Arabidopsis thaliana: one gene and its partners. The protein of the gene in region 3 interacts with the protein of the main gene of each other region in a pairwise test. Each region holds a gene or a part of one and is shown on either strand. Other genes may lie near its edges. The genes, in order: AT1G55805, AT5G17560 and CXIP2.

Region 1 (3,386 bases), on a different chromosome or scaffold from region 3:
CCGGAAGTTCAAAAACTTAGTAAGTGATCACAGAAATGGAAGTGATAACGAAATCAAAACCTTAATAACTCTTACAATGTAAGTAAACCAAGTGTTACCGTATGAATCGAGAGAGGAAGCATAGATATTGGAAGCAGAGCCGAAGCAAGTGGCTAAGCTGCAAGAGAAGGAGAAATCTCCTTCGCCTACGAGAAGTATCTGGTGCTTGGATGAATAGTGTTTGACCCACACTTCTTCATCACCGTCTCTGTCTCTGTTAAGCTCCGAGAGCTCCCTCATCGCCAATGTAGTGAAAATGATGATAGTTTGGAAAGTTGTTTTTTTTTCGTTTTATTTATCTTCGGACATATACTAACGTAACTTGCTCTGTTGATGTATAGAAGAGGGACGGTTTAGCTTCTCCAGACAATGGAAATGACGATTCACTTTACCCACAAAAGAAAAAGGTGATCACTGATTAGATTTGGTTTAAGCCCATAAAGTACATATATTTGTTGCTAAAGGAAGGTGACATGGACTATTGGAAAAGGCGTTTTGTTTCTAGCGTTAGCGATTAGAAGACGCAAACGCCATTGATGACAATGGGAGAATAATCTGAAGAAGAAAGAGACAGAAACATGGAAAAACAACCCTTTTGGCTCCAAGCTAACAAACACGGCACAATCGAGCTTCCTTTGAGAATTCAAACACATGACCATTGATTGGACTTTCAACTAAATGGAGCCTTAATTCAATTCATCAAGCTATGACCATTATAGTTTTGAATGCTAGAAAAGACAGAACTCGAATTGAACTAAAAGCAAGTGTCTTTGTTCCAACACACAATTCCAGAAACACCAACACACAACCTCAAGCGTATGTAAAAATGAAGACTTTGGCTCCGCAATAAATTCCAAAACAGAGCACTTTGATGGTAAAAATTCAATCTTTGAATCGAACAGAGTTTGATGAGAAACTCTGATAACAGAAACAGAAGATACATTAAACAGTACCAGTACACTAGTCTTTAGAAGGAGACTCAGACGGCGTCTTGGAGACGATAGAAAGAGCGTGCAATCCAGTATCCAACTCTTCCCGGAGCAAATGATAGACCAACCTGTGTCTCTTCACCAAATTCATTCCCTCGAATCCTTTAGAAACGATCTTCACATTGAAATGCGTCTCATCGTCGGTTCTACCTTTCATTCCGGCGTGACCAGCGTGCTGATACGAAACATCTTCGATCACTAACTCCACTGGTTCGAGCTCTTTTTGAAGCTTCTCTCTCATCCTGCTCGCTCGATTCTCTATTGCTCCAGAATCCGACCCGGTTTTCTCAACGCTGCTCATTGCTACGGATCTTGAACCAGTTCCCGTCGATTTTGACTCAGAGTTGAAGAATTTAGGTACGGAGATGAAGACGCTCGGAGAATTTACCGGCGATTTTAGGGGTTGAGTCCGGTGGAACCCAGATACGATTAACCTAATCGAAGATGAAAACATTGCCACTGTCGAAGAAACTCGAAACTATATTAGACGCTGTCGTTTTGTCAGCTTATCATCTTCACGAATCTACTATTAGAGGCGTTATTTGCATTAAGGTCCACAAATTTTCAAATATAATAACATCACCCCACATTTGTGAGAAAAAAATTACAAAAAAACAAACAAACTCTAAAAGTGTATCGAAACACCCTCATACTTCTTCACATTTGTGTGAGAAATCAAATAACAAATACATTCGAAAAATGTTTGTGTATATGATTTAATATTTTTTTGGTGTGGTTAAAAAACTTAAGACATAATTAAGTAATAACAATTTACAATTGTAACGTGGATATTTTTTGAAATGTTGATTTATGACCAAAATAGTATTAGATGAATTCTCCAAGAAGATCATGGTATGATAAGAATAAGATGGTATAGTGCTAAAACATACCCAAAACTGTAATCAGTTTTTGAAGTAAAGGCAATATCTTTGATTTGGGTAATAGTTTGTTTCGATAATTTTGGATGTACAAAATTAATTTTTAAAGTGGTTCTAAGCTGCTCATCCAAATTTTTTAAGGATCCTAATCTCTGGTCTAAACTTCATTAATGAATCATAAAAAAATCTACGGAACTAAAAGAAGAAATTGATTATATCCTTCAAATTTTATAGACAAACAATCGTGCAGATTAAATTGTAAATATGCTAATTTTGTTCCTGTGTATAATATTTTACATTGTAGCATCCTTTGGTAGTGTAGATGTTGAGAAAACTAATATTAATTGGTAAATTATATATTTCGAAAAACAAAATTCAGGTAAATAGATTTGGAGGAAACATATGAAGTTAAAATGTTATGGATAAAAACAGAATAAACAAATTATTGTAGACGTAATCCAAAATAGTATAAAATAAATAATTTTGCAGTAACGTAAGATTGCATTCGACCACACGCATCTATATCACTGCGTTTTTAGCTGCAGCTTTCGATAGTAGGTCCTACATCCTATTCGGATCTGACGTGGATCCTTGATCACACTCTCTACTTTAGGGACTCAAACACTCTCACATTTACGAGAATTGCCACTACCACGTCCCTCAGTGGGAAGGGTACTTTCGTAAAACCAAAAAAACCACTTTCCGGTTTCCGCAAAAACCCGTCACCGCCGCTGCATCCTCCCTTCATTCTTTTCTCTCTTTCAACGCATATACATACACTTATATACGTTATCAATATATTTTATTTTTAATAAGTCCAGTTTTTGTCTGTGCATCGAGTTTAACAGGCAATGCTCGTGTCTCTCTCTCTTTATATGTTTAGATTCTTTATCTGGAACTTGGAAGCTCTTTTGTTAGCTATATCTAATCGGTGATCTCGAAGCTTATTCAATCCCTCTTTCTTTTTTCGTGAGTTTTTATCTTCATGTTGATTCGGTTTATATTGGTTTATATGATGATGAAACGTTTCTTATAATTCTTTTGCATGTATTGATCTAAAAAAATCTAGCTTTCTTCTCTTCTGATCTCTGTTTTCTTTTTGTTCTTTCCCTTTTTTACCCGGGAAAAAGTTACGGTTTCATGTTTAGGATTGGCGTTACTATTATCTGGTGGCCTATCATGATTGGTTGATTGTTTTGTGTGTTATACTGGATTTGAGAAAATGGGTATCACGGCATTGGCACTTGTGGCATCTAACTAATATCACTAAAAAGTTTGATTCTTTTGAGGAATTGTTTTTTGACTGGAAAGTGTTCCTTTTTGTTCCTGGATGGTGACAACAAAGGTAGCTTTGCTTTCCTTATTGGCATATTTCATGTGAATTTAGATTTGCATATTTGTGTTGTAGGAATGGCTTCAAAGTCGGATGTGAATATAATAGAGACATCCTCAAAGGTTCATTTCTCAGGATTTCATCAAA
Region 2 (4,213 bases), on a different chromosome or scaffold from region 3:
GTTTTATCGAGATTAAAGTTTTTTATGATGGTTTTTTAAGTGGCTAAAAGTTTAGAGTGAAAAGTTGAGATTCCAACTAGTATAGGACCGAAAATTCAGCCAACCCATGAGACTATGATGCAATGCCTCTTTGGCTCTTTCCTCTTTTGATTTGACGTGACAAACCTTACATAGGACACTTCATTTATTGAACAGCCGAAATGAATTGGATGAAGAGCACGTTTATGTTTCAGTGAATTTATGAATTTGTGTGTAGAGATTCAAAATTATTCCAAAACAGAACTAACCAAAAGGAACAAGAACCGAAACCCAATAACTTTGGTATTCAGGTAAGAAAAAAAAAAGAACTTAAACAAGCTTTGCATTGTACAATGCACAAGAGAAACAAAAACATGTTCTCCATTCTTCAATGGCTGGACAAGGCCAAACAGTTTTCTAAAACCTGTTTCTTCCCTCACATTACACAACAATTTGGTGAAGACTCGAGCATGTCCGGAGACCTGTGAACATATATATATACAAAACTTAGTCACCTTGGGGTCTTTAAAGATCACAGAGATTCCAATAAGGAAGAAGACTTACATTTGGCCCAGACTAGCGAAATCAAAGCCAGGATCCATCTCTTGCACTATATCACTCGGTGGTTGTCCACACTCTTGCATCTTCTGCATTATCTCCATTATCTTGGTCGAATTGTTTGGTTCGTTCTCGTACACCAAGTTGAGTTCTTTGATAAGTTCATACTGGCGTGAATAACGATCGAATTCTTCCTTGTTTAGACTGGATTCATGCTCTTCTAGCCATTTTGGGTATCTTGCACCAATCTCTTTCATTGGTTCGTGAAGAATATCCTTCGATAACAGCTGTTGCATCATCGTGTCCACTATCGACTCCAAGTCCTAAACAAAAACATGGAAATTATGAAATGAGAAATCATAAAAACAAAACTTCTAGTGATCAAGACTACTTTCAAATGGTTCTGCAAACTAATTCTCATCTTCAATTGTGGTTTTTTCGATATTAGTATCAGTATCACTACTATTAACACAGCCTTCAAAACTACTTTGCAACATGTGTTACTACTCTGCAACAACCTTAACTAGATGAAACTTTAGTAATCTAATCTAATCAGAGAACTTGAAGATAAAGAGAACATTAAACTAGATAAGTATAGCAAGAAGTAACAACTCAGTTTGTGTATACTTACGTTAGACCCAGTAAGATTCTCGAATTGCTTGATCCAATCTTCAACCATAGCATCATCAGAACCTGTAGGTTGCTGCTTCGATGACAAGGACTCAAGTCCCTTCACAGTTTCTCTAGTTTGTTCCCTGAGTTTATCAAGTGCCTCAGTAACATGGTCCTCTTTAGCAATCTTTTTCTTTCCTTTCTTCTTACTCCTCATATCTGGTAACCCCATTCCAAGACCTTGAACCCCACTTGGCAATGACTCTGTCTCTTTTTTATCACCCTCTTCTTTCTTAACCCCTCCATTTCTACATAAATCCAAAGCTAATCAACACCACAATTCCCACCAAAAACATAACAGAACCTCTAATTTAGTATTGATGTAACCACAATCTCAAAACTCTAGAGCTAAGTAATCTAACCACGTGGCATAGATACAATTAGAGAGAGACAGAGATTATGAGAAAAAGGAGTAACCTTTGAGTAAGATTAAGATCCTTGAAATCATCCAAGGCACCTGAGAAAGACCCAGAATTCTAAATTATAGAAAACGAACCCACAAGAACAAAAACGTTTTTCACCAATCACCTAGAATTGGTGAACATGTTATCAAATCAAATTAAAATTCGTTAGGAAATTATTACTATCGAGAAGCTCGTCTAAGTCATCGGTGTGAGTATCGTTGGCCATATTCTCGAGTCTCTCTTCCTCAACTCTCGAAGAAACTCACAAAATTCGAAGAGGAAGAGAGAATTATCGCATTGAAGAGAGAAACAAATTTCCAAAGGCGGTGTTGTTCAATTGATCAAGTTCAGGATTCGATCCAACGGCTGACATTATTTCCATTAAAGAATTATATTATTAAAATCTTAAAATGACTTGAAACCACGAAAGCCCATTAAGTTTAACTGTGTTGTGTCGTAAGCCCATTTTTTCAAGAACCAACGACATTGCCACAGAACATTTTTTTTTTTTTTACTCGCAAGTCTCTCAAGCAATGGCGCAGACATTAATGGCGACAACTCGTCCGTACGTTCTTCTCTCTTCCACAAGAGCGAGTCTTTATCGCCTTTTTCAATCTTCAAAGAGACCCTTCGCTTCATTCTCAGCTCCTCTCGTGAGATTCACTAACTCGAGATGTGTAAGCGCCGTTTTGTCTCGTAAAGAGACTGCGCCGTCGTCGATTTACGGCAATAGAGTTTCTAGGGTTTCTGGGTTTGGTGCTTTGGACATTCGCAGCCTTAATTTCAGTACTAAATCCTCTCAAATCAATGATGCTGGTTCTATTGATCAAACCCTTATGCAATCCATGGAGCTAAAGGTTGGATTTTTATACCTCATTAACTAATTTCAGTGAAATTGATTCATTGTGTATGTTTCAGTGTCAATTCAATTTATAGGTTATAGTATTATTAGTGAATTTTTGAAGGAATTGATTGGATACTTGGTATTGGCAACATGTGTCATATTTAGTTGATGGAAACTTGGTATTGGCAACACGATTGCTCTCAGTAGCTCCAAAATGATCAAGATCACTAAGCTAAGATAATTAATGAGGAATCATGTCTCTTACTTATATGATTGAAGCAAACGATTCTTTTTTTCGATTTATCAACACATGTCTCTCTACTTATGAGGTTTTGGCTTCATTTGCAGATCAAAGAACAATTGAATGCAGAGTCGGTTACTGTAACGGATATGTCTGGAGATGGACGTCATGTCTGGTAAGTACTCTGATTTAACTCATTTTTGTCTTCCAATGATGATTCTTTATTACACTTGAGTGAAGTTGCAGATGTGTGTTATCACTGTTATGGATAGTGTTTAGTGAAGTTTGTTAGATATATAGATAAATTCATATTTTGAGATTCCTTTTCTTTCATTTTAATCACAAAAAAGTTTCAGGTTCAACAAGTAGTAGAATCATCAAAGTTGGGATATAAGTTAGTACTTATTCTTCTGCTCTTGATGGAATCCAGTCATAGATTCTTACTTTAACTTGTCATATTAGATGGTTCTGTTACTTAATACCAGTTTTGCTTAATATTTGTAGCATCAATGTGGTATCATCGGCTTTTGAGGGACAATCTGCAGTGAACAGACAAAGGATGGTCTACAAAGCCATTTGGGAAGAGCTTCAGAACGTTGTTCATGCCGTTGATCAAATGACAACAAAGACTCCTTCTGAAGTTTGAAGCGTTAAATTTTCCGAACTCTAAAAGGCTTCAATATCTTATATTATTTGATTAGCTGACAATGCTGTTTGTTTTATCAAAAAGAAAAAAGCAAAAGGAACTGATATACAGCTTTTGGTTATTTTTTAAGTACTTTGATTGGTTCTCTTGCAACCCGCCAACACATGTTAAGTGTTGGAGCGTTTGCGGTTTGCGGTTACACGTGTTTGGCGTTTTCAATCGCTCTAAATGAATAAGAACAAAATTAGCGTTTGTGGTGGCGGATTATCTTCAAAATAAACTTTATTCTCTACTAGCTAATGTTATCATTTCAAAAAAAAAAATTTAGTCGATAAATAGATTAAAATATATTTGTGGTCATAAAAATTATATGTATGCATGGAAACGTATCAATTCAAAACTGAAAAGTTTTTTGCAATGAAAATTGTAAGATTTATAATAATATGATTGTTGCTTTTATATACATGTTACATGCATGAATAGTGAATAACTGAATATTGAACTACTATGGTTGATTTGGGAACCGTATTAGCCATCAACTAGACAAAAATCGTTTATATCAGTAGTAGCAACACTTAATAATGGTTACAACTAGTCCATCTGCTCAAATTCCCATATCTTTACTTTAGCTACATGGATTAACAGTTTTTTTTTTTTTGTTATCGGTTATTATACCATCATTAGAAACATAATGTTGTTTTGTAAAAAAAGAAAACACTCATATTGTTACAACTTGGAAACATAAGTTCATTTAACTCCAATTATTACAAGTAGACAAACATAGGTTTTATAGATACTATACTACCACAACCCATCACATGTTTTTTTTC
Region 3 (4,548 bases):
AAACCTGAAAGACGTCCCACAAAACACATGCCCACTCCAGCTCAATGGACTAACGCATTCAATCCTGCATTTTCGTATTATGTCTACTATTGTTATGCTAACCTCTATGTGTTAAATAAGGTACCATTCCTCTTAGTCGCTTCTGTAACTAACTTGGTGTTCTCAAAACTGTGTAATATGGAGTAACTATTTTTCTTCAGCTTCGAGAGTCAAAGGGCATGACTACTATCACGCTACGACCACATTCTGGAGAGGTGTGTTATTTCTTCCTTTGTGCTAGATAAACAGTTTTCAGTTACAGTTCAGTGGAATTTTAACATGTCTACAAATTTCAGGCTGGTGACATTGACCACTTGGCTGCTACGTTTCTAACATGCCATAGCATCGCACATGGAATCAATCTGCGAAAGTCTCCTGTGCTTCAGTATCTGTACTACCTCGCCCAGGTTTGTGGAGACTGCCTGCATGTATTACATATGTATTATTGTTTCTGTTCTAAGAAGACATTTCTTTTGACAGATTGGTCTGGCCATGTCACCACTGAGCAACAACTCTTTGTTTCTAGATTACCACCGGAACCCGTTTCCTGTGTTTTTCTTAAGAGGTCTCAATGTTTCTCTGTCTACTGATGACCCCCTTCAGATTCACTTAACTAAAGAACCTCTCGTGGAAGAGTATAGCATAGCTGCATCAGTAAGTCATAATCTTTCCATTATGCAGTCTTGCCACACATCATAGGCCTTGAAAAGTTGATTATATTTTTAAAAGTCTTATTAGTTATTACCTTTAAATGATTTATACTGATCTTCTGCAATTGCAAACACGAAGAACAATGAAATTTCTCTCTATACATCCTTTTCTTCTAGGTTTTAGTTATATTTATGTATTAACTGAAGATGATAACTGGATTTTTCAGGTTTGGAAGCTGAGTGCGTGTGACCTGTGCGAGATAGCTCGTAACTCAGTGTACCAGTCAGGTTTCTCACACGCCCTGAAGGTACTTGTTATATCAACATGGCCCATAGTATGAATGAACAAGATGTCTCTGTTCCGATCTACTAATAATACTAACTTGTTGAGATGTTCCAGTCGCACTGGATTGGAAAAGATTACTACAAAAGAGGACCTGATGGAAACGACATTCACAAAACAAACGTGCCACACATAAGGGTGGAGTTCCGTGACACGGTATGGAATGAAATATATTTATTCTTCACACAAGTTAATTTCTCTTTGTAGGAAAACAAATTAAAAATATGAAGTTGATGCAGATCTGGAAAGAGGAGATGCAACAGGTTTATCTGGGCAAGGCTGTTATCTCTGATGAAGTTGTTCCATAAAAACCACAATCAGAAATGGCAAGACGTAAGAATCCAACATGTATGTAACAACTCAATGATCTTATCACTTCTGTTACAACATTTTCTTATGATGTCAATGATTGAATTTCAGATTGCAGGGGAACAAAGAGAGCATTTTGAGAAGTATACGAAAGCAGGAACCTAGTAGATAGGGTAATAATATGAGTGGCTCTGTGCCCTGAGAAAGCGATTAGGCTGTGCCAAAATCTTATTGTTTTATAAAGCTTTTTAGATAATGAGATACAAAGAGACCAGTTGAGAACCGGTTTTAATATAATGGATTTCAGTTTTTGGATTACATACTGTTTTAACTTGGATTCAGATTCAATTTTTAATCAGAAATAGCATTATGTTCGAAATCCAATTTTGTTTGTTTGTTTTGGTTCTGTTTTAAACCATACTGAGATCTGTTTACCGGATTAAACACATGTTTTTGGGTCACATTGGTAGATTTGGCTTGATCATGAAGTGAACTAGACAAATGTTCCTTTTGTTTCATAACAGACTGAAGTATGGAATGTGTAAGAAAAAAGAAACTAAAGCGGGTCCCACTTTTCCGAATTATGGTATTTAAAACCCAAGTATCATAAGGCCTTAATAACAGTCCAATTCAGGCCCAATGGATAAAATCCTATGTCAAATAAAAGAGCTCATCATTTTCCACCGATAACTTTTCTCAGCTCCGACAAAAATGGCTGCAATCACCATTTCTTCCTCCTTGCACGCCTCAGCCTCTCCGCGTGTTGTTCGTCCACATGTTTCTCGAAATACCCCTGTGATCACCCTCTATTCACGCTTCACACCATCCTTCTCCTTCCCATCTCTCTCCTTCACACTCCGTGACACAGCTCCGTCTCGTCGTCGTTCCTTCTTTATCGCCTCCGCCGTCAAATCTCTAACGGAGACGGAGCTGCTTCCAATCACAGAGGCTGATTCAATCCCGTCCGCTTCCGGTGTATACGCTGTATACGATAAGAGCGACGAGCTTCAGTTCGTCGGAATTTCTCGGAACATCGCTGCGAGTGTCTCTGCTCATCTCAAATCTGTGCCGGAGCTTTGTGGCTCCGTTAAGGTACTTATCCATGATTTCATATAGAGGAGTAGCATGTCTGTTACTATAACGAAGGATTCTTTGTTTTGTTGTGGTTGACTTTTGTTTATTACTGTTCATAGATTTGGGAAGTGTTTTGGTAAATGAATACTACAAAAGTTCATCACTTTAGTTCCAGAGATAGTATTTCATATCATTAGGATCACTATTGTTTGCAAAACTAGAGCTAATGAAGTTCTTGGTTCTGTTGTTGGTAAGAGTTCTTTTAACAACACTTACCACACATTATGATTAGGAGATGCATCAATAGTTCATTTTGTATATGTTACTTAGGAGTTAGGACTTGTTTTTTTAGCATTTTCTTTTGATTAGTTTTTTAGGGAAATTCTACTCTATAGATACAGGACAGTGCGCATTGGCGAGATTTGTCGAGGTTTGAGAGGTATATCGGTTTTGTACCAATGGAGAGAACTGATTCTCTTTGGCATTTTGATTACCATTCTGTGTCAGGTTCTTTTAATTAATAACAAGAGCTTTTGTTTTTTTTGTGTCCATGATCCTTAACTGTATCAGCTTACAACAGTCAAATCTAAAGATTGCTCTTGAGAAATTTACATTTTTATGGGTTGTATTATTATCTTAAGAATTTACATTTTTCCTCTTTCTATCATTTATTTGTCACTTATTGCTTATATTTTGCTTATGATTTACTTATGTTATGATTATTTTAGTGTTTATTTGCTCCATTGACTCAATAGGACTTTGTTTATGCTCATGTGATGGATATTGACAAGTTTTGGTATTGTTGATATATCTTCCATAACTGATTTCATCATTGTTTTGCTAGGTTGGAATAGTAGAAGAACCAGATAAAGCAGTTTTAACACAAGCATGGAAATTATGGATAGAAGAACATATAAAAGTAACTGGAAAAGTTCCGCCGGGGAATAAGTCAGGGAACAACACATTTGTCAAACAAACTCCGAGGAAGAAATCCGATATCCGTCTCACTCCAGGTCGCCATGTTGAGCTCACGGTTCCTTTGGAGGAACTGATTGACCGTTTAGTGAAAGAGAGCAAAGTGGTAGCTTTCATAAAAGGATCAAGGAGTGCTCCTCAATGTGGATTCTCACAGAGAGTTGTTGGGATTCTTGAAAGCCAAGGAGTTGATTATGAAACTGTTGATGTTCTTGACGATGAGTATAATCATGGGCTAAGGGAGACGCTTAAGAACTACAGCAATTGGCCAACGTTTCCACAGATATTTGTGAAAGGAGAACTTGTAGGAGGATGTGATATTTTGACCTCAATGTATGAAAATGGTGAACTTGCCAATATCTTGAACTAGTTTCATCCGATTTTCTTCTCTATTTCTAGTTGTAACTCCAAACATTCATTATAGAGAAAACATGCTTGGATTCTCTTCCATAGTTACAGATTCGTTTTCTGTTTTCCGCATTTATAAAAGGTTACAGATTCTATACAAATCTAAGAGTAGGTTTAAAACGCATAACCATCCACTAAATTCACCTATTTTGTGGTCATTTAACCAATGATTTTTTTTTTTTTTTTTTTACACTAATTGTCCCTTTAAATATATATGTTGAAACAAAACATAATTGGAAATGGAGTTAAGTAACTATTGTTACGTTAAATGATTTAATTGATTAATTTAGTAGCATTCTTATTCTTGTAGCACGTTTATTAGAGAATTATTGTTCTTCTTTGACATAATCTTTGGGTGAACTAACACAAAATATTCATTTTAAGTACTAAATTCTCATTTGTAGGATGAATATCTCAAAAATAACACAAATATTCTATGGTATTCATTTGTTACAACTTATATGAGTAACAAACGTTCATGAAAATTGAAAAATATGATGATGACGAGGTTAGTTTATGGGTTGTATTTTCTTTTTATTTTTTTTTTGGAAACTGAAAAAAATTAAATGAACAAATAAAACAACAAGTCAACGGTCTCAAAAATTCGATTACATAAAAACAAAACAATAAAAAAATATAAGTCAGACTGTAAAATAAGTTGATAGGTGTTGATTCTGAAAATCACACAATAAATTTGTTTAAAGGGGATAAACAAATTTACTTAACTCTCTCTCGCTATTTAGTGACCAA

The links.
Region 1: the proteins of CXIP2 (region 3) and AT1G55805 interact in a two-hybrid assay, tested with the Arabidopsis thaliana proteins (one study listed by BioGRID).
Region 2: the proteins of CXIP2 (region 3) and AT5G17560 interact in a two-hybrid assay, tested with the Arabidopsis thaliana proteins (one study listed by BioGRID).

The regions. Positions count from the first base shown.
Region 1 is NC_003070.9:20,857,957-20,861,342, forward strand, and holds AT1G55805 (BolA-like family protein), read right to left. Parts: upstream 1,528-3,386; 5' UTR 1,483-1,527; coding exon 1,000-1,482; 3' UTR 654-999; downstream 1-653. Other genes in the region: AT1G55803 (ferredoxin-fold anticodon-binding domain protein), read right to left, coding at 99-279; UKL3 (uridine kinase-like 3), read left to right, coding at 3,317-3,386. UniProt on the Arabidopsis thaliana protein: May act either alone or in interaction with glutaredoxin as a redox-regulated transcriptional regulator, or as a factor regulating Fe-S cluster biogenesis. The glutaredoxin-BOLA1 heterodimers bind a labile, oxygen sensitive iron-sulfur cluster.
Region 2 is NC_003076.8:5,786,289-5,790,501, forward strand, and holds AT5G17560 (BolA-like family protein), read left to right. Parts: upstream 1-2,069; 5' UTR 2,070-2,185; coding exon 2,186-2,509; intron 2,510-2,844; coding exon 2,845-2,912; coding exon of another isoform or gene 2,913-2,916; exon of another isoform or gene 2,917-3,087; coding exon of another isoform or gene 3,088-3,106; exon of another isoform or gene 3,107-3,241; coding exon 3,242-3,383; 3' UTR 3,384-3,676; downstream 3,677-4,213. Other genes in the region: PEX19-2 (peroxin 19-2), read right to left, coding at 455-500, 583-899, 1,208-1,496, 1,666-1,705, 1,833-1,878.
Region 3 is NC_003071.7:16,030,559-16,035,106, reverse strand, and holds CXIP2 (CAX-interacting protein 2), read left to right. Parts: upstream 1-1,937; 5' UTR 1,938-2,052; coding exon 2,053-2,433; intron 2,434-3,259; coding exon 3,260-3,760; 3' UTR 3,761-3,922; downstream 3,923-4,548. Other genes in the region: FAC1 (AMP deaminase, putative / myoadenylate deaminase), read left to right, coding at 1-120, 201-254, 336-446, 520-693, 917-997, 1,090-1,188, 1,272-1,340. UniProt on the Arabidopsis thaliana protein: May only reduce GSH-thiol disulfides, but not protein disulfides. Participates probably to the maturation of iron-sulfur proteins and to the regulation of the redox state of the BOLA proteins.